4 linked regions of the Tamandua tetradactyla genome follow. The protein of the gene in region 1 purifies or fractionates together with the protein of each later gene. This does not show direct contact. Links are inferred from orthologs where the notes say so. Each region holds a gene or a part of one and is shown in the gene's direction. Other genes may lie near its edges. The genes, in order: EXOSC10, EXOSC1, EXOSC3 and EXOSC2.

What was found.
Region 2: the proteins of EXOSC10 (region 1) and EXOSC1 purify together in Homo sapiens (co-immunoprecipitation; 8 studies listed by BioGRID and IntAct, counting the BioPlex papers as one, with this or other methods). This does not show direct contact. The link is inferred for Tamandua tetradactyla from reciprocal best matches to the Homo sapiens genes EXOSC10 and EXOSC1.
Region 3: the proteins of EXOSC10 (region 1) and EXOSC3 purify together in Homo sapiens (affinity purification with mass spectrometry; 8 studies listed by BioGRID and IntAct, counting the BioPlex papers as one, with this or other methods). This does not show direct contact. The link is inferred for Tamandua tetradactyla from reciprocal best matches to the Homo sapiens genes EXOSC10 and EXOSC3.
Region 4: the proteins of EXOSC10 (region 1) and EXOSC2 fractionate together in Homo sapiens (co-fractionation; 9 studies listed by BioGRID and IntAct, with this or other methods). This does not show direct contact. The link is inferred for Tamandua tetradactyla from reciprocal best matches to the Homo sapiens genes EXOSC10 and EXOSC2.

The regions. Positions count from the first base shown.
Region 1 is NC_135328.1:214,318,010-214,325,876, forward strand, and holds the start of EXOSC10 (exosome complex component 10), read left to right. Parts: upstream 1-4,847; 5' UTR 4,848-4,895; coding exon 4,896-5,006; intron 5,007-6,124; coding exon 6,125-6,261; intron 6,262-6,967; coding exon 6,968-7,091; intron 7,092-7,867. Other genes in the region: serine/threonine-protein kinase mTOR, read left to right, coding at 363-378. UniProt on the Homo sapiens protein: Catalytic component of the RNA exosome complex which has 3'->5' exoribonuclease activity and participates in a multitude of cellular RNA processing and degradation events.
Region 2 is NC_135339.1:58,766,503-58,773,731, reverse strand, and holds the start of EXOSC1 (exosome complex component CSL4), read left to right. Parts: upstream 1-4,228; 5' UTR 4,229-4,346; coding exon 4,347-4,425; exon of another isoform or gene 4,426-4,530; coding exon 4,531-4,646; exon of another isoform or gene 4,647-5,489; intron 5,490-6,305; coding exon 6,306-6,380; intron 6,381-7,229. Other genes in the region: palmitoyltransferase ZDHHC16, read right to left, coding at 44-238, 433-675. UniProt on the Homo sapiens protein: Non-catalytic component of the RNA exosome complex which has 3'->5' exoribonuclease activity and participates in a multitude of cellular RNA processing and degradation events.
Region 3 is NC_135328.1:57,303,581-57,310,772, forward strand, and holds the start of EXOSC3 (exosome complex component RRP40), read left to right. Parts: upstream 1-4,170; 5' UTR 4,171-4,446; coding exon 4,447-4,779; exon of another isoform or gene 4,780-5,007; intron 5,008-5,175; coding exon 5,176-5,325; intron 5,326-7,142; coding exon 7,143-7,192. UniProt on the Homo sapiens protein: Non-catalytic component of the RNA exosome complex which has 3'->5' exoribonuclease activity and participates in a multitude of cellular RNA processing and degradation events.
Region 4 is NC_135328.1:53,593,832-53,600,768, forward strand, and holds the start of EXOSC2 (exosome complex component RRP4), read left to right. Parts: upstream 1-3,937; 5' UTR 3,938-3,987; coding exon 3,988-4,109; intron 4,110-5,441; coding exon 5,442-5,543; intron 5,544-6,937. UniProt on the Homo sapiens protein: Non-catalytic component of the RNA exosome complex which has 3'->5' exoribonuclease activity and participates in a multitude of cellular RNA processing and degradation events.

The DNA.
Region 1 (7,867 bases):
TTGCTGTCAGTTCCGATACAGGAAGGGTAATGGAAAAGAAGCCAGAGCAGTGATAGAAGGAGACGAAAAGACAAATTTATGATCTGGGATTGTAACCTCAAGGACCACTCGGGGCTCCGCTTTGATTACTTGCCCGAGGCATGCTTGAAGAGAGGGTAAAGGGGACGTGTCCCCTGGGACCTCAGTAGGCATCAGCACTGGCCTGGAAGCGATGAGTATGCCTCACACAGTTAGTTGTGGGAAATCTCAGGGAGTGTCCTGAGGATTATCAGACCTTGATCTTTTTGTTTTCCTTGTATCTGTGTAAAGCTTTGAAGAAGCTCTTATGATTAAAATATTCCTTTTTCTGTCTGTCTTCCTAGGTGTCCTTTCTGGTAACTGGAGGCCCAGACACGCCCACAGTGTTTCTTGTGAGGCTTTTGTACTTTGGTATATGTATGCTTCCACTAAACTGAAACTATGGTCAAAAAGTTTGACTTTATTAAATATTTTGAAATGTAAATGAAAAAATAACTACTGTATATTAAGAGTTGGTTTGAACCAACTTTCTAGCTGCTGTTGAAGAATATATTGTCGGAAACACAAGGCTTGATTTCGTTCCCAGGATTGTAAAACAGTGTTGCCACATAAATCAAGCCATTGATTTTGGGGAACAGAAGATCCATAATTTTAGAAATACGGGTTTTGACTTAACTCACAAGAGAACTCATCATATGCATTTACTGGTAGAAAAATGGCCTACTCATTCCTCTCAACCCAATACAGCAGACTTAGTGCTGTCAGGAAGCTTTAGGTCATGGAGGAAACATAGGAGGATTCTGGACTATAACAAATCAAGAGGAGCAGACTTCATCACTTCCTCCCATCCCATGATTTCACTGGTCCGTGGACAACAACAACCACAACATCATCAACAGCATTTGCAAAATGGGCCAAAATGGGTGAAAAGGGTCTGTCTTCTGCTTGACCCAGTGACGCCGCAAATTACACACTTCAAACCAAGACCTGAGCTGCTAAGAGGGGACTTTATTGCTATTGCTAGACAGTTCTGCCAAGCAAACGCAGGGTGGGGATCATGGTGCAATGGGGTGACCCAAATCCGCCTTCCTTGGCCTGGATCTTGGATGTTTTCAGTGAGTTCTGTATACTCTGTTTAGAGCAAAGGCTTGAAAAACAGAAATACTGTCATGGAGGTGCTGAACACAGAGGGAAGGTCTAGTACAGGTTGGGAATTATGAACAAAATAAATATTAAACTAAATGCACAAAGTATAAAGTATAGCCATGTCTAGACACCATGTATCTGATACTTTTTGTGCCAATAAATTACATCAGAATTTTAAAACACACATATGGGTAGCTTTTTATTCCTAATAGAGAGTTCAAAAAAAAAAAAGCATTTATTCCTTCACATTCAGCATTCATTAAGCACTTAGTACAAGGATAACAAATGACATGGGTATACATGACGTGGTCCCTTTGCTCAGCATGTCTACAGGCCAGAGAAGGTGGAGACGGCCTAACAGGAAATAAATGGATAACTCCACTGCTAGCTAAGTGGTGAGAAGAGCCGTGAACAGAGTGTGAGCCACGGAGGGCTCACTCACTCCACCGGGTTAGCCAGGAAAGTCTCATGGATGGTCTGGAAGAATGAGTGAGAGCTTTCCTCAATAGAAAAGAAAGCGCAAGTCATCAAGCCATGAATGCACAATATTGTGCAGGAATGGCAAGTATTAGCTTAAACCATATGAATCTGCAGGTATTCAACCAGTTTTTATATACAAAAATGGCAATTTCATATGGTTGGTCCTCATAGTTCAGCAGGTGTGGCTTCAGGGGTCAGTGGAGAAAAACTCAATGACAAGGAGTTTGGGCTTGAAGCTGTCAACAACAGGGAACTAGCTGATTTTGTGTGTGTACTATATGGCAGGGATCACATTTCATTCTTTTTCCATGTGAATAGCCCATGATTGTAGCATTATTTGATGAATTTTTTGTTTGTTTTTTCTCTTTGTTGCTTTGGGAAGTACACGGGCCGGGAATCGAACCCAGGTCTCCTGCATGGCAAGCAAGAATTCTACCACTGAAATACCCTTGCACTCCACCCCCGTATAAATTTTTAAAACAGGAAGAGAATCCTAATAGTATTTTGAAAAAGGCAAGTAGTGACAAATGGATGTAAAGAAAATTAGAAGCCAGAAGGCCCAGTAAAGAGGGTGTTGCAATGCTGGGGAGGAGAGAACATTAAATGGATCAGGTAATTACTTATAGATTCCCTCTGAAGAGCATACCTAAAGAGAAGTTCTTCCAAGAAATTTATTTTTTAGTTGTTTGTATTAGTTAGGGTTCTCTAGAGAAACAGAACCAACAGGGAACACTTGCAAATATAAAATTTATGAAAGTGTCTCACGTGACCATAGGAACACAGAGTCCAAAATCCACAGGGCAGGCTGCGAAGCCGATGACCCCAATGGATGGCCTGGATGAACTCCACAGGAGAGGCTCACCAGCCAAAGCAGGAATGCAACCTGTCTCCTCTGAGTCCTCCTTAAAAGGCTTCCCATGATTGGATTTAGCATCACTAATTGCAGAAGACACTCCACTTTGGCTGATTACAAATGGAATCAGCTGTGGATGTAGCTGACGTGATCATGACCTAATCCTATGAAATGTCCTCATTGCAACAGACAGGCCAGCGCTTGCCCAATCAGATGAACAGGTACCACAACTTGGCCAAGTTGATACCTTTCCCTAACCATGACATTGTTTAAGTGAAATTTTTTCTCTAAATTTCTGTTGTCCACAACTACTCAGTGAGAAACACTGTTTTGTATAAAAATTGTTCAAGGAACTTGTATTATGGGGAGCCTGAGAATCACAAGGTCAGGAACCACATCATAGGTGTCATTGCACCCACAAAATCTGAGAGAAAACCTAGCCCTAGACAATTTGTTGGAGGACTTTTCTTTTAAAGACAAAGATACATTCAAATTTCAATAGTGATACTAATAACGTTTTCAATATTCACAGTGAGGAAGTCTCATTCTTTTTTGAAATTTTCTAGAAGAGTCCTAAACCAAGTCTGATTTGTTCTGACCTCCTCGGTTTGAGATGAAGTAACTAGCAATGACTACAGTGATGTTACCTTTTACGAAAATTAAAGGGTATGGGGATGGGTGAACTCAGGAAAATGGTGGCCATGAGTGGTAGAGACATACTCAGGGTTTGAGAGTCATTGGGATTAAGATCTTTGGTGAATCCAATGGGTTTTAAGTGATTTCTAAGCAAAACCTTCTGGTTTTGAAGTGAATTATCAGAGACAGGTGAAGAGCTACTGGAGGTCTTTAAAGACAGTCTAATTAACCCATCAATCCTGAATGGTTTTGTGTAACCCTGTGTGAAGAAAGGGGTGTGCAAAGAATGACTTTCCAGATCCTTCCGTTCCTAGGGTTAAAACTACTATCAATAGATTGAAATACTAGTGATCAATGAAAGGTAGTGGTAAGGGGTATAGAAAAAAATGGGAACAAAGGTTAAAATATATTGTGTAGATGGAAATACTAGAGGCCAATGAGAGGCGGGTAAAAGGTCTGGTATGTATGAGTTTTTTATTTTTTCTTTTTATTTCTTCTGGAGTGATGCAGATGTTCTAAGAAATCTTAGAAATGATCATGGTGATACACAAATACGTGATGATATTGTGAGTCATTGATTATACACCAAGAATGGAATATTCACAGGTTAAAAATGTTCATGTTTGTATGTTGTGTTGTTTTGTCAATAAAAATTAAAATAAAAACTACTATAAAGTAGTTTTCAAGAGTCAAGGCTGCAGCATCGAATTATTTAGTTTCAAATCTCAACTCCACTTCATACTGTGTGACTTTGAACCAGTGCTGTTTCCTCATCTGAAAACCTGGTTAATACTACCTCTACCTCTTAAGGTTTGGGTGAGGATGAGATAATCCATGTGGAGCATTTAGCACACAGCCTGAATGTTGTGTTATGAAATAAGTGTTCAAAAATATCAGTCATTAAAATGAACTAAGCATTTCTTCTTTCAGGGTGCTTGTGTACCTGAAGTACACAACTAGGAAAGAAAAAGTGAAAAACAAGTGTCCTATTGATAGGATATCCTGAATTACCATAATTGCTAACATTTATTGAACACTGACTGAGTCAAATGAGATCTATTAAGGGTACACCACCTCTGCTCTGTGCACATAGACGCAATTCACTCCACAGGGCTTCCGGGAATCCATTTTCCCCCATTCCCCAGCTACCTAGCAAAGCGGTGCCTGCCTCATAACAAGTCTTTGCTGAGTTGCATCGTATGCCTTAACAAGACAGGTTCCAGTGGGATGCACGAGAAGAATGTCTAATCGAAACGGTTCAAAAGCACGTTTGCAGGCTAGGAAGTACAGCGGTAGCGTAAAACTCTTTCCAGAAGTTTTCCTACAAAAAAGGTAAGAGAAATATGGCAGGGCCTGGAAGGTGGGGGCTCGGTGTCTTCCCTTTCTTAGTTGGGAGAGATTTCAGCTTAGGGCTGTGTTGTTAGGAATGAACCAGGAGCGAGGGGAGAGATGACGATGCCAGATGGCGGGGATAATGACTGTGGCCAAGATCTTAAGTGGAGAGGGGCATGGATCCAGGGCCTGGAAGGTGTTAGCTTTACACAGGAGATGACTGGGTCCGCCGATTCCCTCGCTAAACCAGAGGATCGTTAGGAGGATGCAATATGAAATTAAAGGAAATTTTTAAGTTCTCGGGGTGGGCGTTCAGGGTTATTCACCCAACTGAAACCCCTCTGGCCCTCTCCCCTCTGCACATGCGTCCGGCGTACACGTCGCGTTGGCGCGTGACACTCTCGCGAGAAGCGCCGTAAAGTCCGCAAACATGGCGCCTCCCAGTCCCCGAGATCCTAGGTCCCCGCCGGCGACAACCGCGACCAAGTCCGACGAGGAGATGGTGCTGCCCGGCTTCCCCGACTCCGACAGCTTCGTGAAGGTGAGTTCGTAAGTCCTCGGAGGCACCGGGAGCAGATCAAGGCCGGACGGAAGCAGGCCCAGGTCCTGTAGGCGGCAGGCAACGCGCGCGTCCCGCAGCGGAGCCTCCAGGGCGGGTCAAGGGGCCTCTCCCCTCGCTGGGCAGAGTCTCTTGGGTGTCTTCCTCCGGAGATGGGGCCCCGGACAAGGAAACGGAGGGACGCTCCATTTCCCAGAGCCCTCGTTCCCCGAGTTGAGGCCTTGCAGCCCTTACTGTGCAGAGCGTTCTCCACACCTTGGGGAAAACTCTCTCGTCACCCTGATGTCTCCAGCCCTCGGCGACCTCGCCCCCGCCCGTGCCTGAACCATCCGGCGAACTCTCCGAGGGAACTTGACTGCTTTACACCTCCCACGTCTGCCCGGCGGCCCCCCTTCCCACGACCGGCGGGATCTTTCTTCCCTCTTCTGACGTCCAGCCCTACGTAATCCCCAAAGCCCAGATACAGCTATCGTCGAGTGTCTTTCTTCTAATTATCAATATCTCAGAATAGATTGGAAACTCCTGGAAGGAACAGAGAGGGTCCATTTAAATTATTTGTGTAATGCAGCTTAAAGATGAGCAAAATAAAACTAGGTTTAAACACGTCATGCATGCCTCTTATGCAGCCATGAAACATAATTTGAAGTTAATATTACTTAACCCCCCCATTCCATTCATATTATCTAATGTACTAGTAGTAGATACTTTTATTAATTTTATTTGTTTGGCCTTGAGTAGCTCGCAGACCACTAACTGAGGTCTTGATCATGTGGAGTTCACACTCACAAGTCACCACATACCCCACGTTGACTCGTTTTCCACCTCCTGTCTCATTTTTTTTCATATTTTCCATTTGTTCTGTCTCTCCCCACTCTTCAAGATGTATGGTCCGAACCTTGGTTTTGTGTTCAGCCTTGTCTCCTCAAGGCCTAGTAGACTAAAGAGTAGAGTCAGTATTAAATGGAGATCTGTTGGAGAGATGAAGATTGGCTATCTTTAGCATCTAACATAAGGTACCATGTGTTGTAGATCTTCAAGACATGATTGCCAAGTGGATGGGGATCTGTGTTTAAAACGCCTTCTTTTCTGGTTTTTGACAGTTTGCTCTTGGGTCAGTGGTGGCAGTTACCAAGGCATCTGGGGGCCTACCACAGTTTGGTGATGAGTATGATTTTTACCGAAGTTTTCCTGGCTTCCAGGCATTTTGTGAAACACAGGGAGACAGATTGCTTCAGTGGTAAGTACCATACATTCTTTCCCCAAGTTAATAAAAGAAATGAAAATAAAGAGGTAGATTTTTCCTGAAATTTGTTTTTCCTTACCATAATCTTCCATGCTTATAAAGTGCTACAAAATGTGAAAAAATAGCCAAGAGGACTAGGAAATTGTTATTTGGTAAATTTTGAGTTTAATTTTTAAAAAATGTATTGACTTTTGCACTTATACATAACAGAGCTTAACTGAATTAATATGGGCCTTGAAAACTTAGATCCAGGTTTCTTAGTCCCATGACTTGCAGAGTCACACATATTAACTTTCTACCTAGTACATTAGGACAGTTAATGTACAAACGTTAATTTTGTTTACCCTTTGCATGACAAGAGTTGGAGAAACTGCTTTAGACTTGCCATGTTAAAAGAATGAAGTAAATGTAATGTACATTTATTTACATACTATCATACTTTTTTTGGAATTTAAAGAAATCAGAAATTTCTTCTGCCCCTTCGGTTAACAGATGAGGAAAGTAAGTCTTAGCTAAATTTAGGGAATTGCCCAAAGCCACACAACTGGCTGTTTCTTTGAAGACTGTCATAACGGTACAGATTTTATTAATTTGAAGAAAAGGCATTGGGAACAGCCTGAGCCAAGCCATTTGAGCTTTCTTCCAGATGGTGAACAAATAAATAAATGTACACACATTTACCTGGGTGTCCCTCCCTCAGCATGAGCAGAGTAATGCAGTACCATGGGTGCCGTAGCAGCATTAAGGATCGAAGCAAAGTGACTGAATTGGAGGATAAGTTTGATCTCCTAGTTGATGCTAATGACGTCATCCTGGAAAGAGTGGTGAGTATTCTCTTATTCTTATGATAACTAACAAACAAAGAGTTTTTGTCTGATTAAAAATAAAGAGCAATCCAAGTACCTTAGAAAATAAGGAAATAAATATACAATTTCTTACTGGTAATAACATTCCCTTCCTTTGACCAGTGGTTTCTTTTTATACAAAACTAAGTATGAATAACTTCAAATTATTACTGCCCCATAGAGGCCTCTTTTAAGGTGCTGATTAAAAATCCACCTTTGTATTACAAGAGAAGCAGCCTCTCTATCAACCCAATAAAAATTTAATCATTTTTACTTTGTTATTGAAAACCTTATCGTTACCTTGACTCTCAGGATTGGAAGAAGATATTAATCATTCAGACTAGCTTGCCATCTGTTTATGCCCAATTCTACAGCAGAATGTTATTTACAGAAATACACGGAGATTGTCTAAAATAAATCTAACCTTTAGCCATGGGATGATACTGGAGATGTTTAAATTATGCTCTCCTGTCCCATGAAATCTATCTTCTATATGAAATTATGCTCTCCTGTCCCATGAAAACTATCTTCTATAGTTTAAATGTCCACAGATCTTGCAGCTATTTTTTGTATTTTGTGATTTCAGGTTCTGTCACTGCTGATCCATCATCTGGTGCATTTTCATTTGTGGTGCCCAAACTCATAGTCCACATCTGCTTTGATAGCACAAAGTAGATCAAGACAACCATCATCCTCATTCTAAATACTTCTGTAATTAATATATGCTTTCTGGGGTGTTTTTAATTATTTAAATT
Region 2 (7,229 bases), on another chromosome or scaffold:
AGTCTGCAAGTCCCCCTCCCCCCATGCCCTTATGGGAACTGACCTGGGGTGGGTATCCAGGTGGAGTGGTGATGGCCTGGTAGTAATGGAAGACAATCAGCACCAGATTCCAGTGACTATAGAAGAAATGCCAGCAGAGTCGTGGCACTGAGTAGGTTTGGAGAATGAGGGGAAGGACACATAGGTAGGCGATGGCCACAATGGAACTGGTCAATATGATCACCAGCACCACGAACACCTGCCAATACCAAGGAAGTCTGAAGATGTGGGTCAGGTAGAACCAGTAAAGGAGCCTTGCCAACACCCAGCAGAGACTCAGGAATATCCTGAAGGGTAGGGAGCTGGCTTCCAAAACCTAGTGGAGGTCCATCAGAGACATATCCCTTTCCTATCCCAAAACATCCCTTTTCCTGCTCCCTGGGCATCACTCACCACCCCAAACCAGCGGATCACGTTGTCCACCAGCCAGTAGATGGGCTCAAAGGCAGCATCGATAGCAGTGTCGCTGCCCCCAAAGGAGTTGTAGAGCAGGGAGCGCAGGCAGACCTTGCCATAGCGCCAGCGCTGCACCAGACCCCGCAACAGAGGTGGGCAGCGGCGCCTATAGCCCAGGAGCAGAAGCAGGCGCAAGCAGAGACGGGCTGGGCCTAGCAGCAGGCTCCTCTGGCTCCGCATGACTTCTAGGAAAACACACTATTGTGAGTATCAAGTCTGGTTCCTCTCCTTCCCTATCCTTGCCAGTGGGGAATCCAGAGTACCAGTTTAAGAGGGCAAAGACCTAATATCGAGCCCAGCTAGGCCAGTGACCAGGTGAATGTACAATGCCAATGTCCCCAACAGATTACATGAAATAGGAACTGGAGGTTATGAGTCTAGAAATTCCATTTACATTCCACCACTTGGGTGCACAGAAATCCAAGGTAATGAACATCTAGGGTAAAGGACCACAGCAAAGGGGTGAAGGACAGGTAGGCAGCTCCAAGGTAAAGCAGGATCCTTGGAATGATCTATGTAGACAGACCAGTGGGTGGAGTGTGTACAAAAATATCCATGTGTTTCTGTGGGCCTGGCCATTATAACAGGCAGCCCAGGGTCTAACAGGCTAACCTGACTCATCAACCTACCTGCTAAAGGTTGTTCTTCACCAAGGAACAGCAAGCTCCTCTAAGTCGGGGAGTGAGCACATGGCAAAGGGATCCTACACCTAGATCTTCCCTGATGCCGTGGGTCCTGACAAAGGTACTCCTTCCCATTCCCTCAGGCCAGCCAACTCAGCCTAACAGCATGAGATTCTCTGTCTGCCTGTCACTTCAGCTCAGCCATCCCTTGCATGATATAAGATGCCTTGTCTTCAATTCTAGTCCCAGAACCACTACAAGGATACAGAAGGGAAGACAACTTCAGGTATTTAGGGCAGAATAGCACTAGAGGCAGGAAACACTGGTACTTAGAAGGGGCCCCCATGTTGGCAGCTCAGGACAATCACAGAGCCTGCCCTCTGAGTGATAAGTCTCCTCTGCCTTGTTCAAGTTGGACACAAAAGCCTTCTCTATAGCTGCTGCCCTTGGCTTCAAACTTGTCCCCAGCCTTCCCAGCTCTTTAGCACTTTCCACAGCTGCTCTACAAGTGCTTTCCATCTCCTTTACGTTGTTTCTAACTCATTCAACAGCAATGGAAAAAGGGTTGGCTGCCCAGCCGATCCCCAGAATAGAACACAGTGCTCTGGCAGGTTCTTAAAATGACAGTCTCATCAATTCTGCAGATTAGAAGTTCTTTACCAGAAAAGAAACTTTCTCCTAGGGTGGCCTTGGAAGGCTGCTTTGTTTGTCCTTAGCAACTGCACTGACTTATTTAACAGGCAGCTAAAAACCCAGCAGAAATTGGAGGAGGCTGCTCCACTCTAGGGATGGTTTCAATTCAGTAACTGGAGCACTATATTTTCCTTGAACCCTGGCTCATCCCCACAAAAGGTCCTTCAAAGAGAACATTTCATTACCTCTATCCACAAGCCCTGCAACTACCTAAGGCAAAAAACAAAAACAAACAAAAAAACCTCAACAAACTAGGCCTACGGAGCAAGTGAAGAAAGACATTTGAATAGGGACCCACACTGCACCAGGATAAAGAAACTGGCCATTCCCATTACCTCCTAGGAAGCTAAGAGTATTAAGGCATGTGGGATGGCATATAGAAAAGAGAAAAAGGAAAAGCTCAACTTTCCTACCTTCATTCAGTTGAACTACCATTGTTTGGAACCATGATTTCGCTTAAAGAATGAATTTTCAAAATAACAGCCACAATCAAATACAACAGTGAGAGTAAACAGACTACCCCACAACAATTTCTGGTGACTTTTGGATTGTCCACACCATTGTTTATTCCCTAACTATGGCTAATGGAGAGTTTTCTATTTGCTAAAATACTTTTTATAGCAGTAGCTTGCAAATCAGATTCATTCTTTACCGGGTTCACCTCTGCCCCTAAGCATCACTTGTGACCTTGGGCAAATCACTGATCCTTGCTGGGACTCAATGTCCTTCTGTTCGCACACAACGAGAAAGTAGGACTAAATGCTAAAGTCCCTTCCATATCTAACCTAGTCTGGATATATATATGGTAAGGTATAAATGAAATGAAAGTGGTTAGCACAATACCTATCTCATGGAAGTGCTCAATAAATACTTGGTGAATGAATGAATGACCTAGAACACCTGGTTATGGGATACAGAAGTAGAAAGGCTGATCACATGCCTATCTGACCTACAAATACCAGCAAAGACACTCCTACCAACGTGACAACATTGAGTGTCTGCCACTATCATTCTTTCTGATCAAAGACAGAAACAGAAACCGTTATTAGAATCATAGTACTTAAGACCTAGAAGGCATTTTTAAAAATAAGTCCAACTGAAATAAACTCAAATATGTAAATAGAAAGTTTGTAGATGCATAGCTACAGATCAGGTTTGGGTAAATAAGGTCTGAAGCTAGCCCCCTACCCCCTTACTTTAGCTAGTAGGATATAGAGGGGATGGGGATGACATGGAAGAGAGATGCAGTTCATGGGACATAACTGAACATACGGCATTTTCATCTCAGGAAATTGAGGTAAGGGGGCACTCAAAAGCTGGGGTAAGGGGTGGTGATCTCCGAGTGAATGTGGGAAAAGAAAGAGAACACTGTCGTTTCACTATCACCTCCAAGCACAAAGCCCTGAACACTCTGATCCCTCGGTAGTAGCCACAGGCTATAGTGGGATTTGCCATCCGATTAGAGGGGACTGCAGGCCACTCATCACTCCGGGTTTCTTTTTCTAAGGCTCTAAGTCACCATTTACGTGGGGGAGAGGGGTAGGGGTGGGAGATAAGAAGAAACAGATTGCAACACCACAAGGAGGCAAAGGAAACTGAGATGAAAGTCGTGGCAAACCTCTTCTGGACAAATACTGCTCTCATGAGGACTGCGATCTCAAGCAGCACATAGTGAGCATCAGTAAAACAGCATTTTATTCATGTACAAGATTTCCTTTACGGGCTAACACGATGCAAAGAGGGAAAAGTAGCAACTTTATCATGGGGATGCTCATCAAAAGCTAAGGACGGACTCAAATGACTACAGCTCCTCTTGAGGGAATCCTACTGCAGGATCTGAAGCTGCAGTTTCACAAACAGGGAAAAGGTTTTACTTCTCAAAGAGGGCTCGTGGTCAAAGCCCGATGAACTGGAAGTAAATCAAAACAAAGCAAAACAAAAACGTGGGTTCCAGTTTGAACTCTACCTTGAACTATCTTCGAGACTGCACAAATCAAATCCTTTTCCGGATTAGTTTCCAAATCCGTGAAATGGGTGCGTTGGATTGGTCAAGGACCTGGTCCTGTTCCGCCCGGAATGGCCTGCACACAGAGCGTGGCGAAAGAGCACGAACCCGGGCTTACGTAGATGGAGAACTATCCCGGGATAGGGCCCGACCCTAGAAAAAGGACTGAAGTAGGGAGCAAGGACTGCGGCTTTGCTCTTACCTGCCAGCTGCCCAATCAGCGAAATCGAGTCCTGCAGCTTTCGCCACCACTTACTACCACACCCTCCAGCTCGGCACCCCGGCCGAGCCCGGCTCAGCACGACCCACCATGGCCCGCCACGCGCAGAGCCAGCCAGAGGACCCAGACCCACCGCCAGCCCATCCTGAACCACAAGCGCAAGCGCAAAATCCCGGGAGTTTCGGCCCTACTTGTCCCGGGGCAGGCTGGGAAATGGAGTTAACCCTCGAGGAGTCGCTTCCAGAGAGCGCCCGATGAAGCTCTCCAATTGACGCGCTTGTTACTGCGGCACTGCACCTCGGCCAGTCCAATGAGGAGTTGGCCTCATTTTCATCCGGGCTTTCGGAAGGGGTTAGTCATGGCGCCGCCCGTGAGGTACTGCGTCCCTGGTAAGCGAGCAGTGCCCGCAAAGTCCTGAATGGGGACAGAGGCAAGGATGCTGGACGGCCAGCACATTTGGGGGCCCCGAAATTGATGCAGTGTTTTATCTGCAGGCGAACGGCTGTGCAATTTGGAGGAAGGAAGCCCGGGCAGCGGCACCTACACCCGTCACGGCTACATTTTCTCCTCCCTTGCCGGCTGCATGACGAAGAGCAGCGAAAACGGCGCGGTAAAGGCTCCGCTTCCCATCTCTTCTGTCTCCTTCTTTTCCTTGGGCTTCTCTTGATTTTCATGCGCTTAGGCAGGGGCGCTGCGAACACCTGTTTAGTGCCTGGCCAGTAAAACGTTTGAGAGTTAGTCTCTGATTTTCTTCCATCTGTAATCCCCGCTGCTTCATTTCCCTCCACTCTTCACCTCGCCGCAATCCAGACACACCAGCTTCTTTCATTGTCGCTAATGCGCTGTACTCTTAACTTGCCACAGAGCCTTCTTACATTCGCATCTGTCTGGAACACTCTCCTCTACCTCTTGGTCTACTTAATATCTGCTTATCCTTCAGATAGCATCACTTTCTCATAAAAACCCTCCCGATCCAATAGTTGAGGAAAGGCGTTTTTGGTGTTTGTTTTTTGTTTGTGTTGCTAAACATTCTCAGAGAACTTTACTTCCAAGCATTCATCTCAGCGATTAATTAAACACTCACTTATGTGTTTCCCATTAGACTCTTAAGTTCCATGAAAGCAGGCCTCATTGTTGTACACTCAGCACCTAGCACACGATAGACGCTCATTAAATATTTATTGAGTGAGTAATACTGTCCTCCCTAGTTCCAGAGACTGATCCAGGATTAGCAGTCTTTGAAGGAACAACTTAAAGGCAGGTGCCACGGTAGAAAGAATTCAGAATTAGAACACTTAACTAGACTTTGATTCCGCCTTGAGTAAGAAACTTAAACTCACTGGCTTTAGGTTCTTTCTTATCTGTAAAATGAGAAATTTTTTATTCATTTTCAATTGGGAGGCTGTTCTTAACGTTCCTAAGTTCATTCTGTAGATGTCTGTTGAACGTTTTCATATTCCAGGTGCTGTGCTGACCTCTGATGATGTAATAATGAACTAAATACACATGGTCTCTGCTGGCAAGGGGTAGAGAAACAAATCATAAAGAACTAAATGCACAAATGAACATTACGTGGCACCGTGAGAACATGTAACAGGAAAGCCACCCTAGTCAGCAGAAGCGACATTTAAGCTGAAGAATAAGGGTTGGGTAGGTGGGGAGAGTGCATTCCTGGCAGAAGGAGCAGGTTAAATAGAGATCCTGAGATGGGAGGAAATTCAGTGAGTTGGGAAAATTAAAAGAAGGTCAGGAGAGCTGAAGCATAGTTGGCAAAGAAGAGAATGATTAAAGATGAGGCTCAAAAATATCTATCTTACAGCAACAGCCAATACCAGGCTCAAAGAAAAAATTCTATAAGTAATTTCTTAACATAGAAGAAAACAAGTATGGCTACTATTAGAAAACATTGTTTTGGAAATTTAGCCTTGTGCAATAAACTACATTAAGACTTGGTATAACTTTGGAAAAACGAGGCAAGTTATCAGCAATTGTAGGCAATATGGTTGTAGAACTAAATTTCAAGAATATCACCAAAACATATTAAAACTTCTCTGAAATAGTTAAATTATGTCTTCTGGCATTATTCTTCCCATGGCCTCTTGGTCCTCCTGTTATTTCTCAGATACTCTGCTATGGGCTAAAAAAAAATCCATAGTTCATTTGCCCTTTTAACCTCTCTGGACCAAGGCATTTCTTTATTACTTTAAGCCATGAATACTTTTATCCAAGGCTTAGTCGGTATACCGTTTTTTAATTGCTCTTTTTGTAGCTTCCTGTGGTGTCTGTGGTGAGAGAGACAGAGTCTCAATTACTGCCAGATGTGGGGGCTGTTGTAACCTGTAAGGTAAGTTGGTCTTTATCTCCTTGTTTATGATACCTGTCCAGTGCTGAAATCATGATCATTCTAGATCTGTGCTGACTGATATGGTAGCCATTAGCTATATATGGGTATTTAAGTTTAAATAAATTAAAATTAAATAAAATTTAAAATTTTGTTCCTCAGTTGCACAAGCCACATGAACTAGTGGCTGCTATATTGGTCAGTACGGAACATTTCTGTCATCACAGAATGTTTTATTGAATTTTTTGCTATCTACAGGGTTCTAGGATAATGACCAAGATAGCCAGTTTCAAGCATTTGTAGTTATTTCATTGTGCCAGTTCCCTGAGCATGTAGTACCTGTGTCGGGGAAACAGGAGTGCCATAGGTATAGGGAGGCCTATTTTTGAACATCTGAAAGTGAGACCTTTTTCTGCAGAGAAACAAAGGGCTAGTCTATTTTCTAGCATGTCTGTAAATTTAAAGTCTTTTAGGGTATTTCAGAAGTACAAATTAATGCTGTACATGTAATATTCTATGCCCATCCCCATACTCTGCCAGGGAAAATTAACTTGTACCTTTTAGTTCTTCTCTTTATCAGTTGCTCCAGCAGCAAATTTAAATGTTGCTCTGAAAATAACTGGAGAAACAGTGATTAAAATATCATGCAGTGGGTGCATGGTTGGTTCAGTGGTAGAATGCTCACCTTTCATGTGGGAGACCTGGGTTCAAATCCTGTACCATGTACCCAAAATATATATGTATATATATCACACAGCTTACCTAATTTAACTTGTATGGTCAGTTTATTTGAACACCATAACTACATGGACTCTTGAATAGGGCATGAGATCTTGTTGGTTTGTACAGGTT
Region 3 (7,192 bases), about 160 Mb from region 1:
GGACTTAAGTGCTACATGCTGATGCTCCTACTGTTTGCTGTGCTAAGAGTAATAAATGTCTTAATGTGATCCACTTAGTGTGTGTCTACTTAAGTAGACCTCTCATCTACTTTTGGTACCTAAGGAGTTGTGGTAGGTGAAACTGCTTGCTTCCTTGATCATCTCTTTGGATTCTAGTTACTTCTTGCTCTCCTATGAGGTTTATCTTATTTCCTGATAATTCCCACGCAGAATTTGGACTTGCTTCTGAAGGCAGAGGGGCAAGGCATGGGAGTTTCAAAGTAAAGAGAATGACATGGTCAGAGGTAGAATCTAAGATGAGCAGCAGCTAAGGGAGAAAGGAACAAAGGATGAGAAGTGAAGAGGGTGACCAGTTAGAAGGCTGTGAAAAGGCCCAAGAACAGTGGTCAAGGTGTTGGAAAAGATTGAGAAAGGAGGAACGGGAAGACCCATCTCTTAGGCTGATTCTGACAGAATTTTCTCTGATGTGGTTTTGGAATTGAGGTTTTCTTACATAGCAAAATGTGTTGCTTCCAAATGCTTATGAGATACAGTCCAGATGTCCTACCAAAATTTATAAAAGGCCTCATGCTTTTGTTATTCTGTCCTCCTTGCTCTTTCCCCTCCCCTTCCTCACTCTTCTTAGAGGTAAGTGGTATTATCACTATTATATCACTGAGGAAATTGAGGCACAGAGAAGTTAAGTCAATGTATGGATACACAACTGTTCTAGTTTAGTAGCTATGGAATGCGATATACTGGAAACAGAACAGTTTTTAAAAGATGGAATTTATTAAGTTACAAGTTTCAATTCTAAGACTGTGCCAGTCTGTAAAAATGTCCAAATTAAGGTACCATCAAGAGGTTATCTTCACTCAAGAAAGGCCGACAGAGTTCAGGGTTTCTCTTTCTCTCAGCTGGAAAGGCATATGGTGAATATGGCAACATGTGCTAGCTTTCTCTCCAGGTGTCTTGTTTCATGAAGCTCCCCTAAGAGCGTTTCCCTTCTTCATCTCCAAAGGTCTCTAGCTGCATGGGCTCCTGTGTTTCTCATGGCTCCTGTGGCTCTCAAGTGTTTACCAAAATGCTTTCCTCTTTTAAAGGACTCCAGTAAACTAATCAAAACCCACCTGGGATGGGTGGAGTCACATCTCCATCCAATCAAGGTTAATACTCATAACTTGGCGAACCACACCTCTGTGGAGATAATTTAATCCATTTTCCAACCTATACTGCTGAATTAGGAATTAAAAGAAATGGTTGCTTTAGAAGATGCATCAGGATTAAAACTAGGGCTTGACTAGGGCACATAATCCTTTCAAACCCACAATACTTACTGTTAACTGCAGTTATTTCTAGGGAAGTAGAGAGAAATGAGGTTGCAAAGAGACTAATTTTATCCACTTCCTCAATGTTTCATTTTGAAAAATTTTTTTCAAAATTGTTTTAATTTGTCAAAAGGAATATAAAATGACTAACAAAGCACGACATGACACACACATTACAAAATAAAAATATGAGCCAGAAAGATGTTTCCTTATTTTAGAAATGCAGATAAATGGCAAAGCTGTTGAAAACCAGAAAATCACGTAGTTTTAAGTATTTGTAATTGGTGTTATATTATGATATGCCAAGACAAAACTTAAATGCCATTCCAAATAAGAAAGAATGTAGCTTATAGCAGCATGTAATTCAGATTGGGGGTAGGGGACACCAGGCCATATGTATTTTGTAGAACTGTTAACACAAAATGTGGTAAGGAAAAAAAAAACAGGTGGTCTTATGTTTTACTTTCTCCAAATAAGTGCTATGTTTAAGAAGTTATGGTTCATTGTGATTAAAAACATGTCACAAGGAGACTTGTCATTTGTGCTGTGTTAACTGGGAGCATTTATGCTTTTGGATTAAATCCTGGAATTGAAAAAATACAGTAATACTCCCATGGATATTTTACTATTAATTTCAGCGTGTATTTCATTTGTAATTTTCAGAAACCAGTAAAACATTTCAAAAGCTCACTCGAGTGCCAGGTATGCACTGTCGCGGTTGACACCCTAGTCAGTACTTATACAAGTCAACAAAACACTCCGGTATTATCATGTGTCAACAATGACCTTTCCTAGAATAGGAACCATGATTCAATTGATTCCCCAGCTGGTCCAGAGCAGATGCTAACTGAAACGAAAAAAAAAACCTTACCGGTCAACAAAGAAAAGCTACCTTAAGATGCAGCTTTTCAATCTTCCAAAGTAACAGGTTTCTAGAGTCGTTCAGGGAGAGTCCAGAAGGCCGCAGTCAGCTCCAACCTTTCCGAAGGGCAATATCCCCGAGAGAAATACTCAAAAATGGCGAGGTGTGCGCCAGGAGGCACACGTGGCAGCACCGCCTCTTCCGCACTGGCTACAAACCCGGGTTCCCCAACCGAGAAGGGGGCCTGATACACCGGGTGGGGGGGTCCCGCCAGGAAACTCAGGCGCGCCGCCGCGGGCGCAGTCTGGCCTCGACGCCCCGAAGCACGCGGGCCGACTGCGCGAGGACTGAGGCCTGCTCTGCCTTCACCCAGTCTCCGAGGCTACAACCAGGAAACCAAGCTTCGAAACACGAGCTTCGTAATTGCTACCCCATGTTAAGATCCGCGAGCCGCCGAGTTTGCGGCGGTGGTTTAGAGCTGGGCGCCGTACATTTCGCAGCTTCCGTTTCCCACCTGCGCGAGGCTAAGCCCCTGCCCTGGTCCCTGAAGGGACGCCGTGCGCTCTCACTCGCCGGCGGCCGCAGGACGGCGAAGCAACGAAGAACCCACCAGGCGGTGTGAGGCGTAGCTGGCGCCCAGCCTCATGGGCCCCGCCCCGTCCGGGCCGGCAGTGGGTGGGCGACGCCCTGGACGCGTGGTTGACCCGACCCCTCCAGGCCCTGGATTTGCTGCCTCCACCGGACTGTGTTCCTCGGGGCCTCAACTACTTCATTTGTTTCCTTTGAATTGCCAAATGGCATTCCCCCAGGCCACTGCATTTGATTGGGCTCCTCAGCCAGCTTTGTACCGAATTTCTTCCAGGCATCCCACTACCAACATAGGGTGCATGAAAAACAGTTTGAGGAATATTTCCTGGGTCCCTTTGTGCCTCATCTGGGCCTAATGTCATTGAGCACCCTCCGTGCGTGGCCTTGGGTCAGCTTGATCACTGAACACCTACTGCTTCCAGGACCTCTGCTGCTGGACTGGAGAGGGACGGAGAGAAGCCGAATCTACACGATCCTTACCCCGGGACCTCTCACATCTGTCAGGGAAACAACCAAGGACAGTTCTTACAACAATATGATTCAAAACAAAATTACATTTCAGTCGGCCTCTTATTACATCCAAGGAAAGTGGCTCGCCAGCATCTCGCCAGGTTTGGAGGATGTTACAGGTGATGTCTTAAACATCCTAAAAATCTACCATTCGCTCTGAGAAGCGAATACCTCACACATCTGAACATCAGAAATGAAGGGCAGCTAAAAGCCATCGGTCAGGGCTACGCCCTCTTAATCCTCAGGGGCTCTCGCCACTGCTGAGGAATCTGACTAAAAACCAATAGAACGCGCCAGTTGACAGAGAAAATGGCGATTTCAAGCAAGATCCCTAGAAGTCATAAGATCAGGAGCCCCGAAGTACTATGGATTTACAATTTAGCTGCTTCTCTCAAGAGCAACAAAAAATGACTCAAGGGAAAGTAACCACAGGGATTTAAATATAGCCACTGATTTCCTCAGGTCATGCAGGGGTAGCTCAACTGTGAAGATGTGTATATAACCTGTATATTTACAGGGAAAAAAAAGTTAGGGAGAAATATACACTAAAATGCTAACATTCATTCATCAGCTATTATCTATTTCGTGCCAGACGAAAAGGAATCAAGGTTACAAGGATTCAAAGAGAGCCTAGCAAGTGAGACAAGCATGGGCGAGATCATTATGCTTATTTTCCATTTTTATTCTTTTCTCTAGCAACAATCAAAAAGGCTTTATTTTGACAAAGAAAAGACTTCCTGGTAAAAAGTCAGCCACCATTCTGGGAGCGGGGGTGGTACGGTGAGGGGCAGGAAGGACTATGAACTCACCCAAAAGACCAACTCCCGAAGCTCTCTGCTCAGTTCCCAGGGTTCCTACGGCCCATACGTGGGAGCATCTTGTATCCCACGGTGCGACCGGCCACAAAACGCGTATGCACAGGGAAGTGACGGCTTCGTAAGATTCAGACTGAGTTTTCATACGCACCCGCGGACAGACTGCAACATAGGCGGCCAACTAGAGACAAAATCACAGCCGCTTTTGGGGAACGGCGGGCTCACAGCGGTTAGGCGTCTCAGATTTAGACCCGACTCCAACGCCCACACCACACCGCCGGAAACGGAAAGCCCTGGGGGGCTGGATATTGGACGCGCAGCCGGAAGTGAAAGTTTGCCCGCGATGGCTGAGGCGACGGCGATAACGGCTGAATCCCCTACACTCTCCAGGGCGCGGGTGGCGCTTACAGTGCTAGATCAGCTGGTGCTCCCGGGTGAAGAGCTGCTTCTTCCGGAGCAAGAGGAAGCAGAAGGCCCTGGCGGTGCAGGGGAGAGACCGCTGCGCCTGAATTCTGGGGCTCGTTCGCGGGTGCGCGTGGTGTGCGGCCCGGGTTTGCGACGCTGTGGCGACCGCCTAATGGTTACCAAGTGCGGCCGTCTTCGTCACAAGGAGTCGAGCGGTGGCAGCGGCGGCGGCGGCGGCGGCGTTTATTGGGTGGACTCGCAACAGAAGCGGGTGAGGTGGGGCTCCGGAGGGACGGTGCGGCCGCGAGAGTGGTGTCCCTGCCTTAGAACGAACAGGGAGGGAGCCCTGGGGAGGCGCCTCTGTTGAGAGCAGTCTAGAGTCAGGTTAGAACCTAGGGGATTCCGGGAGTGGATGCTGGCTCGAATCTACAGACTGTCACAAGCTGCAAACCTGAGGATTTAAGATGTGATTGTTTCTCTTTTACTGAATATTATCAATTTTTTGTAAATTTTGTGTAAATAATTTGAATTTCAAAAATATTTTCTAAACATCTCTTGAATAACAAATATATTAAAGTAACCACTAAGGTCGTGATGTAGAGAATTTTCAGGATGTCTTGGAAATGATTGTCATTTATGGCTGTTCTCCTGTTGTTTTCTTTTGTAGTATGTCCCAGTGAAAGGAGACCATGTGATTGGGATAGTGACAGCTAAATCTGGAGATATATTCAAAGTTGATGTTGGAGGGAGTGAACCAGCTTCTTTGTCTTATTTGGCATTTGAAGGTGCAACCAAAAGAAATAGACCAAATGTGCAGGTAATGATGGGGGCCTTTGGTTTCAAAAAATAAGAAAATATCCATTCCTTAGAATGTGAAATATCCAGAATGCTACCAGAATTGTCTTCAAAGTATGACCTATTTTCCCTACTCTGTAGGGGAAACATCTGTGTAATCACCCCAGGCTCACAGAGTTCCTTTACATGCTTCAGCTCCTGGACCAAAGTCACATACGTTTATATGTTTGCTACATTCATTGGAGGATTGTTCCATCTCTGCTGAGTTGAATGGCTGTATCTGTTATCTTCGTTATTATGGGCACTGACAAGGAAGTCAGCCATAGGCTCAGGGAGGGAGGAGGGACAAGTGGTATAAATTTTCATATCCATCCATCCCCGTTATGTAGGGCCTGGGACTGGCATCTCACTGTTTCCCAGCAATCTCCTGGAGCTGACACAGAAGCAGTCTTGTTAACTCAACTTTTCACTTTGGGCTTTTCAGGCAGTATAGCCACATTTTCCCTTTTCTATCCAAGCCAGAAATTTGGTGGTTTCTTTGTCCCTTTTTACTCACCTGTCATGTTTTCAGTTGCGTAATCTTTTTTTATTCTGTCTCATCTTCCACATTCTACCCCTTTATCTCCAGTTTGCAAGTTCAGGCCTTAGCTAACTTTTGACTAGACTTGGTCCATGACCTCCTCATTAACATACCTGCCTCCGCATTTTTGTCTGTCCATCCAAGCTTTTCAGAGCTGTCTTTCTCACACACTCCCTTTCTCAAAACATAAATAGTTCTTCAAGGCTTACAGAATTTCTTGGGATGACACTCTAAGGATCTTGCCTCATCCATAATTATATCCTCCATACAGTTTGAGCCACACCAAATTATTTAACAGTACCACTAAACTCGTTAAGTAATTAACCGCCCTTGCACCTTTGATCATGCTGTTCTGTCTGGATTGTTCTATCTCCTTCTCAACCTAAGAACACAGGCTTATCCTTTGAATCCCAGGCCAAACACCACCACCTCTATGAAGCTATCCCTAATCGTCAGTCATTTTTCTTCTAACTGCTCTTGTACTTAATGGATTCAGCCTTGAATGAAGTTTGTGGTTTATGTATACATCTCACTGCCCTCTAAGACCATATGCTTCTGAAGGGAAAAGAATGTTTTGTTCATCCCTGGCTCCATAGTCACCACCATATAGCAGGTACTTAAGTGTTTTATTGAGAGAACAAAATAAGCTCACTTGTCATTTCTTTAGTTTCATCATTTTGAAGTTCAGTTAAAGTTTTAAATAAACCTTGCCTGAAGAAGTACCAGTGAATTGCTCCTGCTATTTTGCTTAAATAATTTGCATGCTAGGAGTTCCTTTCTCTAGTCATAAATTTTCCAGAATCTCCTAGAGCAGGGCTAGCTAATAAAACTTTGTGATGATGCTCATGTTCTCTGTCTATGATGACAAATACGGTAGCCATTAGCCACATGTGGCTATTGAGCATTATAATGTGGCTAATGCAGCCAAGGAACTGAATTTTAAATTTTATTTAATTTTAATTTAAATAGGCTTAATTAGCCACAGTTAGCTAGTGGCTATCATATTGGACATGAAACCTTAGAGTGTTCTCTGGCCTTGAGATGGCTTCCAGTCTGGGAATTTCCTGAGGGGTAAAGGAAGAAGTACACATGCTAATTCTGTCTTCATCAACTCCAGAGCACTGGATCCTGGAGTGTAGTCAGTTTCTTAGACACAGACTAGAAGTGGTTGGCATTGCTGCTTCTAGGAAAGAACTAACAGCAGTATCTAGTAAATGGTTTGCTATGATGAAGTGAACTGTTATTATTTATCATTGTAGGTTGGAGATCTCATCTATGGCCAATTTGTGGTTGCAAATAAAGATATGGA
Region 4 (6,937 bases), about 160 Mb from region 1:
GAACGTAATTAACTGATAATCTTGCAGAAGCTGGTCCCTCTGGATTTCAGGATTTATCTGATTTAGGAACCTTCCAGGAATTATAGGTTCCAGGAAAGCAAACTTCGCACATGAAACCTTTATAGAGTATCAATTTGAGCCCTGGGTGTTCTTAAGAGTCAATAGGAGTGATGGTGGTTGGGGTTTAGCAAACCATGGCAATTAGCAATAGATCCAAATTCTTGACTGAAGAGATGTCTACAAACTCATGGGCATGTTTAACAACCTCCATAAACAATATGGCTGTTTCTATTGTTTTTAGGAGAAGCAATACTGCAGTGAGCCTTTTTGTGCAGAAATCTTTGTGCATATATCTGATTAGAACATTTGTCCTGTTACTGTTATCATTTTAATGGAACACGAGGAGGAAGCCAGTGGGTGGATAAGGATTGTGGCAAGAGCTCTTGCAACAGTCTCCGCTGCCTCTATTTTCACGTTTCCCCATTCGTTTCCTTCACTTGAAGTTCACATGTCTTCTCACCCAGCTTGTCAGGCTCAGCAGTTCCCTCATGTCAAGGCTCACTCACTCTGTCAGGAAGGCTTTTCTGTTCCTTCGCTCCCACCCTCATCTCTGAACTCCTGAGCATGTGGAGAGCTGGGGCAGCAATGATACATCTCTGTAAACCCCACCGTGCCGGGTGCCATGCTTGCTGCACAGTGGGTGCTTGGCAGGTGTTTGCTGAATAAGTTCATTTGTTCATTCAACAAATATTTATTGAGGGTCTTCTTTGTGTCAAGTATATAGTTCTTGGGGCTGAGGATACAGCGATGAACAAAGCAGACAAAGTCTGGGCATTTGTGGAGCTCACATCCTGTTTGTGTGTCGGGGGCGGTGCACAGATGATAAGCAAACAAACAGGGAAATGTATATTTTGTAAATGTATCATTTTTATCAACAAATATTTTATGGGTGCCTTCTGTTTGCCTGACATGGTTCCAAGTGTTCATATAAGTTGTCCAAAACAGATAAAGTCTTGTTCTTAGAGCACGTGTGCTCTAGGGGAGGCCCTCACAGCAAACAACCAAAGAAATAAACAGGAAAACTCAACGACCAAGAAATAAAACAGCTCAAATGATTAAAAAAGAAAGGACCAGAGGGCTATTCCAGATAAAGTGGTCAGGGAAGGCTTCTTTGAGGGGGTGCTGTTTGAGCTGAGATCTGATTGAGGAGAAGGAGCCAACCACACAAAGACCTGGGAGAAGAGGAGAATTCTGTGCAGAGAGTTAAAAATGTACTGATACTGGGGTGTGTGGAATAGAGAGGAGGCCCAGTGCAGCCAGCTTCATCGTAGCCAGTAAAGGGAGTGGATTAGATGGCGAGTGAGATCCAAGCCAGGCAGGAGCCAGGTCCTACAGAGCCTCAGTGCTCCCCAGTGATGAATCTGAATTTTATTTTTAGTCTACAAGGAAGCTGCCAGAAGTGTTTCAGCCTGGAAATGATTTAATCAGATCTCTGTTTTAAAAAGATCACTCTGGCTACTGTATGGAGAACGGACCATAGGGGAGGTGAGGCCAGGTAAATATAGAATTAGGGAGGCAACTGAGGGGGTTATTACAGTCACTCAAGTGAGAGGTAATATCGATTAGTCTGGGGCTGTGGCCGTGAAGCTGCACAGATGGGGAGGTAGATGGACATTGGGGGAAATTGGCGAATGTTAAATCTGATCAACTATAAATCACTCAGGGAGTTAAAATACACCCTCACAAGGGGTACACGGATAGTTCAGTGTCAGAATGCCCACCTTTCATGCGGGAGAACCGGGTTCGATTCCTAGACCATGCACCCCAAAATACAAACAAACAAAAAATCTTTGCAAAAAAACCACCCTCACAGACTTGTGGACCCTACCCTTGAAGAGCCTCGATGCCTGAATCTGGGTCCAGGAATCTGTATCTTTATCACATCCCTCAGGGGTGTGCAACAAAGTTTCTGGGTACTCATCTCTCTACATGGTAGGAAAGAAGCAAGTATAAAACACCTAGCAAAGGACCAGGCCATTGGGAAGTGTTTGATAAATGCAAGCTCTACCTCAGTGGCCTGCCACCATTTGCTGTGCGAATTCTAGTCATTTCAGTTTCCTCACCAATAAAAAAGGTATCCATAATTCCAATGTTGTGACAAGCTTGACCAACTGCAAATACTGTGAGAATGGGAGGGGTTTAGGGTATGTCCTTCCTTCCTGGAATGAAACAGGATGATGTAAGTACTTTAACTCACTCCTTGGTTGCCAGCATTGTGGAGGGATGGGAGGGCTTGTCTCCTCACTGCCTGGGCTGTGCTGGCTCACAGGGCACCACTGCCACCATATGGCCATGGTGAGACTCAACAGATGGGTCATTTTTATTTTTATTAACACTTTTTATTTATTTATTTATATCAGAATTTATTCAGGTATAATCTAATTACTTTTATTTTTTATTTTTTTAAATTTTTATTGATAAAACAACGTACAAGCACATGAATTCTTAATGTACAAACATTTCATACATGGTGTACAATCAGTGGCTCACAATATCATCACATAGTTGTATATTCATCACCATGATCATTTTTAGAACATTTGCATCACTCCAGAAAAAGAAATAAAAAGAAAAAAGAAAACTCATACACATCATACCCCTTACCCTTCCATCTCATTGACCACTAGTATTTCCATCTACCCATTTTATTTTTTAATTTTGACATTTGTTCCCCCTATTATATATTTTTAATGCATATATTTTACTTATACCAGATGGGTTATTTTTGCACTCTCTTCCTCTCTAGTGCCTTCCTCAAGGCAGAGAGAAGGGTGAGGGTCAGGTCTGCCTACTTGCCAGATGACCAGTGGATCACTCAAATTTGTATCAGGTTGCCTCACAGGCCTGGCTTTCTTTACAAGTGTAGTTCTGAGCATTGCTTGGGTGAAAGAAGTGCTATCCTTTCAGCGATTTATAAAACAATTGGTCTGACTGATCTTTAGGAGGCAGCCGGCCTGATTTACTGAGCACAACTGTGTATGTATGAAAAATTGTCATCTCCAGTTCCCTAAGGATGAGACTGTTTGCTGTAAATGCTATAAACCATCCAGGGCAAGTCAGGGACAGGGAAGTGAAACCCAGGAGAAGACACCAGGGAGAGGCTCCTACAGGACCTGGAGGTAAAGCCACAAACACCTCGGTTCTCACTCAATCCTTAGAACAGTTGGGCACACAGTGCTCGATTTGCTGTATGAAAAAATGCAAGTGATTTTCTTTTTGTACTGTGTGTGCATTTGTTCTCCTTGCCAGATATGCCTGCCTTGCAAAGTTTTCTTGGATAGCTTTTTTCTTTTTCAAAATCATCTCCTCTCACTCAAAATAAATTATTATGAAAGGACAGAACCAGCATGGACCTGGAGCTCTGTTTCCGGATATAGAAGACGGTCGGTATTGAACCAGCATGCATCCGGCGGTGGTGATGCAGAATACTGGAGTTAGTAGGAAAGGTGTGAAAAGGGGCTCTTCTTTCTATGTAAAGAAATGTTTTCTGTTGATCCCACCTTCCCATCCTCCTGATTTCGCTCGCTTGTACACTCTCCCTCTCTTTCACTCGCACACTGAGACACATAAAGGCTTAGAGTTGAAAGGAAACTCAGAGGTCCATTTTTCCAAATACTTCCAATCCTCGTAAGCAATAAATAGGATGATGAGTATGAGACAGTTTTGGTAAAATGTCAGGCGTCACGCAAAGTGAGATTTTTATACTGTCATTTCACGGGGGGAAGCCTTGACAATATAACAAATACGACAACTTGGCTGCGGCTTTCCCCTAAAGTTAACCCAGCGGCTGCCAATAGCCAACATGGCCGCCCGCCCGCGGGATCCCATTGGTGGATGCCCCGAGGCCCCGCCCCGCGCTGTTCCTCCGCCCCTGGAGCTAGGGAACTGCGGCGCCGGATATCGCGGCTTCTGGTACTTGGCGCCAATATGGCGCTGGAAATGAGGCTTCCTGTTCCTCGTAAACCTCTTAGCGAGAATCTGGGCCGCGAGACTAAGAAACACCTGGTGGTGCCGGGGGACACGATCACTACGGACACGGGCTTCATGCGGTAAGTGGGGACGCGGGGGCCTTGGGCCCCAGCAAGCAGCTCCAGGGCTCTCTGCACGTGGCCTGATGGGCCGAAACCTGGGCCTCTGTCCGGTGCGTCTAAGTCTCCCGGAACCCAGGGCACAACTTCAGCGCATCCCATTCGCCAGTTTTCCAAGGCCTCTGGCTTGGGATCCCCTGCATCTTTTGTGTCCCCTTCGGCACCTGTCTCAGACTCCCGAAACCCTCCTCTCCTGACTTCTGGTACCCGTGACGCCCGTGTCCTCTGCCTGAGGCCAGGTCTCTGAGCTTTCTTCGTTGGAGTCCTGAAAAACCGAGGAGGGTTAGGAGCAGGGGCCTCTTTCCGGTTTTCAGCTGTTTGAGGGAACAGGGGGCTTTCCTGATTTGGCCTCTTTCTCACTTAGGTTCATCTCGGGGCCAGAGGTTCAGTTTTGGAGTCAGTAATTGTTTGGGCTTAGAGCAAACAAAATACACGAACTTTGAGTCTAAGGGCAGTTTAATGGGTTCTAGTTAAGGAGCAGATTCCCGAGGCAGTTCGGGTTCCAGTCCTCTCCCTATTCTTAGCGGAAAGATCAGTTTACTTTTCTGTAAAATAGTAACAACAGTAACTATCTGATGGGGTAGTGAGGATCCAATGATATAATGTAAAGAAAGGAGTCAGAAACCACCATTATCCCACCACTACCACAGATAATATAAACCTTTTAGTGATGCTTCAGCCATTTAAAAATTTGGTACACATGTGCTATTACATACGTGAGAACTACGGCTTTTACAGCATTGTCCTTTAACCTTTTAGTGTGATGTTTTAGGATCCTAGGAAATCTAAAGATTCATTCCTTCATTCATGCATTCAGCATATATTATGTGTGGTTTGTATACAACAGTGAACAAAATGAAAACCTCTGTCCTGGTGGAGTTTATATTCTAACAGGGAGAGTCAGATAATAAACAATAAGCAAAACAAAGAAATTGTGCAGAATGTTTGGTGATCATTTCAGGGGAAAAAATAAAAAGTTGAGCAGAGTAAGTGGAATGGGATTGGGAGTCTGGTGAGGGTGGTGGGATCAGGATGGTTTGCAATTTTAAATGGGACACATAAGGTAGGCCTGATGAGGAAAGTGACATTTGAGCAAACTTGAAGAAGATGAGGGAGATGTCCGTGTAGCTGTCTGGAGGAGGAATATTCCAGGTTCCCGGCTGGGAGAGCAGCCAGTGCAAAAGCCAGGCTTTAATGTGGGAGGAGCCTTTTTGGTTTGAAGAACACGTTTTTGAGGGGAGAGGTCGTCTCAGATGTTACCCTGGTATCCTATATATCTGTGTCTTGCCACAGGGGTCATGGAACTTATATGGGGGAAGAGAAGCTCATAGCATCTGTGGCTGGTTCTGTAGAGAGAGTTAACAAGTTGATCTGTGTGAAAGCTTTGAAAACCAGGTGAGAACAAAAGGTGTGTATTCTCTTTCTTACTGCATCCATGTTGCATGACCAGATTTCCCCCCTCTACCTGCCCCCATCTGTCCGATCATTCTGGGGGATCTGAAGCTTTCCACATGACTATAGGAATGGTGGTAAAGGTAAATGTGGGCTGCAAAGGTTTCCCCACATTACTTAACTTCTCCAAGCTTTGGTTACTTCCTCTGCAAGATGAGGAGAATAGTATCATCTACCTTGTACAAATTTCATCAGAATCTAGTGAAATGATGCACTTAGCCCTGTGCTAAGTGCCTAGAAGGGCTCGGTAAATGTTGGTCCTAGAAGGATGTCAGTGGGGTTAGAATAGAGTGAGCAGAGGGGGAGAGAAAGAACAGATACAGACACAGAGCTGAGGTGGGTGGATAATCTGGCCTGCCTTGAAGGCCTTTGTGAGCATTTTGGCTTCTACTTTGTGAAATCTGGGAAGCCACTGGAGAGAATGAAGCAGAAGAAGGACACAATCTGTGGTTGGTTTTTTTTTTAATTTTTTAACTGTTTTAGTAAAATCACTGACTGCTGTGGGAATCGGGGCAGACATAGGGAAATGGATTAGAGGACTGCTTTGCAGTCCAAAGTGCTGATACAGTGGAAGTAGGGGTATTTGATTCTGCATATATTTTGGAGGTAGAGCTGGCAGGATTTACTGCTGGGCTACTCATGCAATTTGAGAATTAGGGAATAATCAAGGCTGACTCTCCAAATTTTAGCCTGAGCACCTGGGGGATGGAGTTGCCATTTACTGAACTGGGGACAGCTGGGAGAGGTGCACGTTTCTGGGAGTGGAAGGGAGTGGCATGAAGCTTATTTTTGGGCTTGTTACATTGGGAGTGCCTATTCATAATCTAAATGGGGTTGTTGGGTAGGTAGCCGTTAAATAGTTTGGGCTTGTTACATTTGGGAGTGCCTATTCATAATCTAAATGGGGTTGTTGGTTAGGTAGCAGTTAAATAGAACCTGGAGTTCAGGGTAATGATACAGTTATCAATGGTGTCTAAAGCCATTAGATTGAGTGGACACACTGAGAGATGAGTGGTTAACTGAAAAGAGATGAGGTCCAAGTCTGAGCTTTCAGTACTGGAACACTTCATAGTTAGAATTAAAGCGATGAAGTACTTGCAAAGGGACCTGAGATGGAGCAGCCAGTAGCTTCCCTCCCAGGGGGAGACAGCGAGGAGACCTATTTGGGGGGCATTCTGTCTCAGAATCTCATTTCTCCTCTTTTGACTGGTACTAAACCCATCTTTGTTCCAGAGCCCACAGGAAAATTTTCTGTGTTTTTTATTGTCATGTAATCTAACAGAATAGGGATTTCAGGCTGAATGAACTATTTGCAGAAAGTGATTTAAGAATAATTA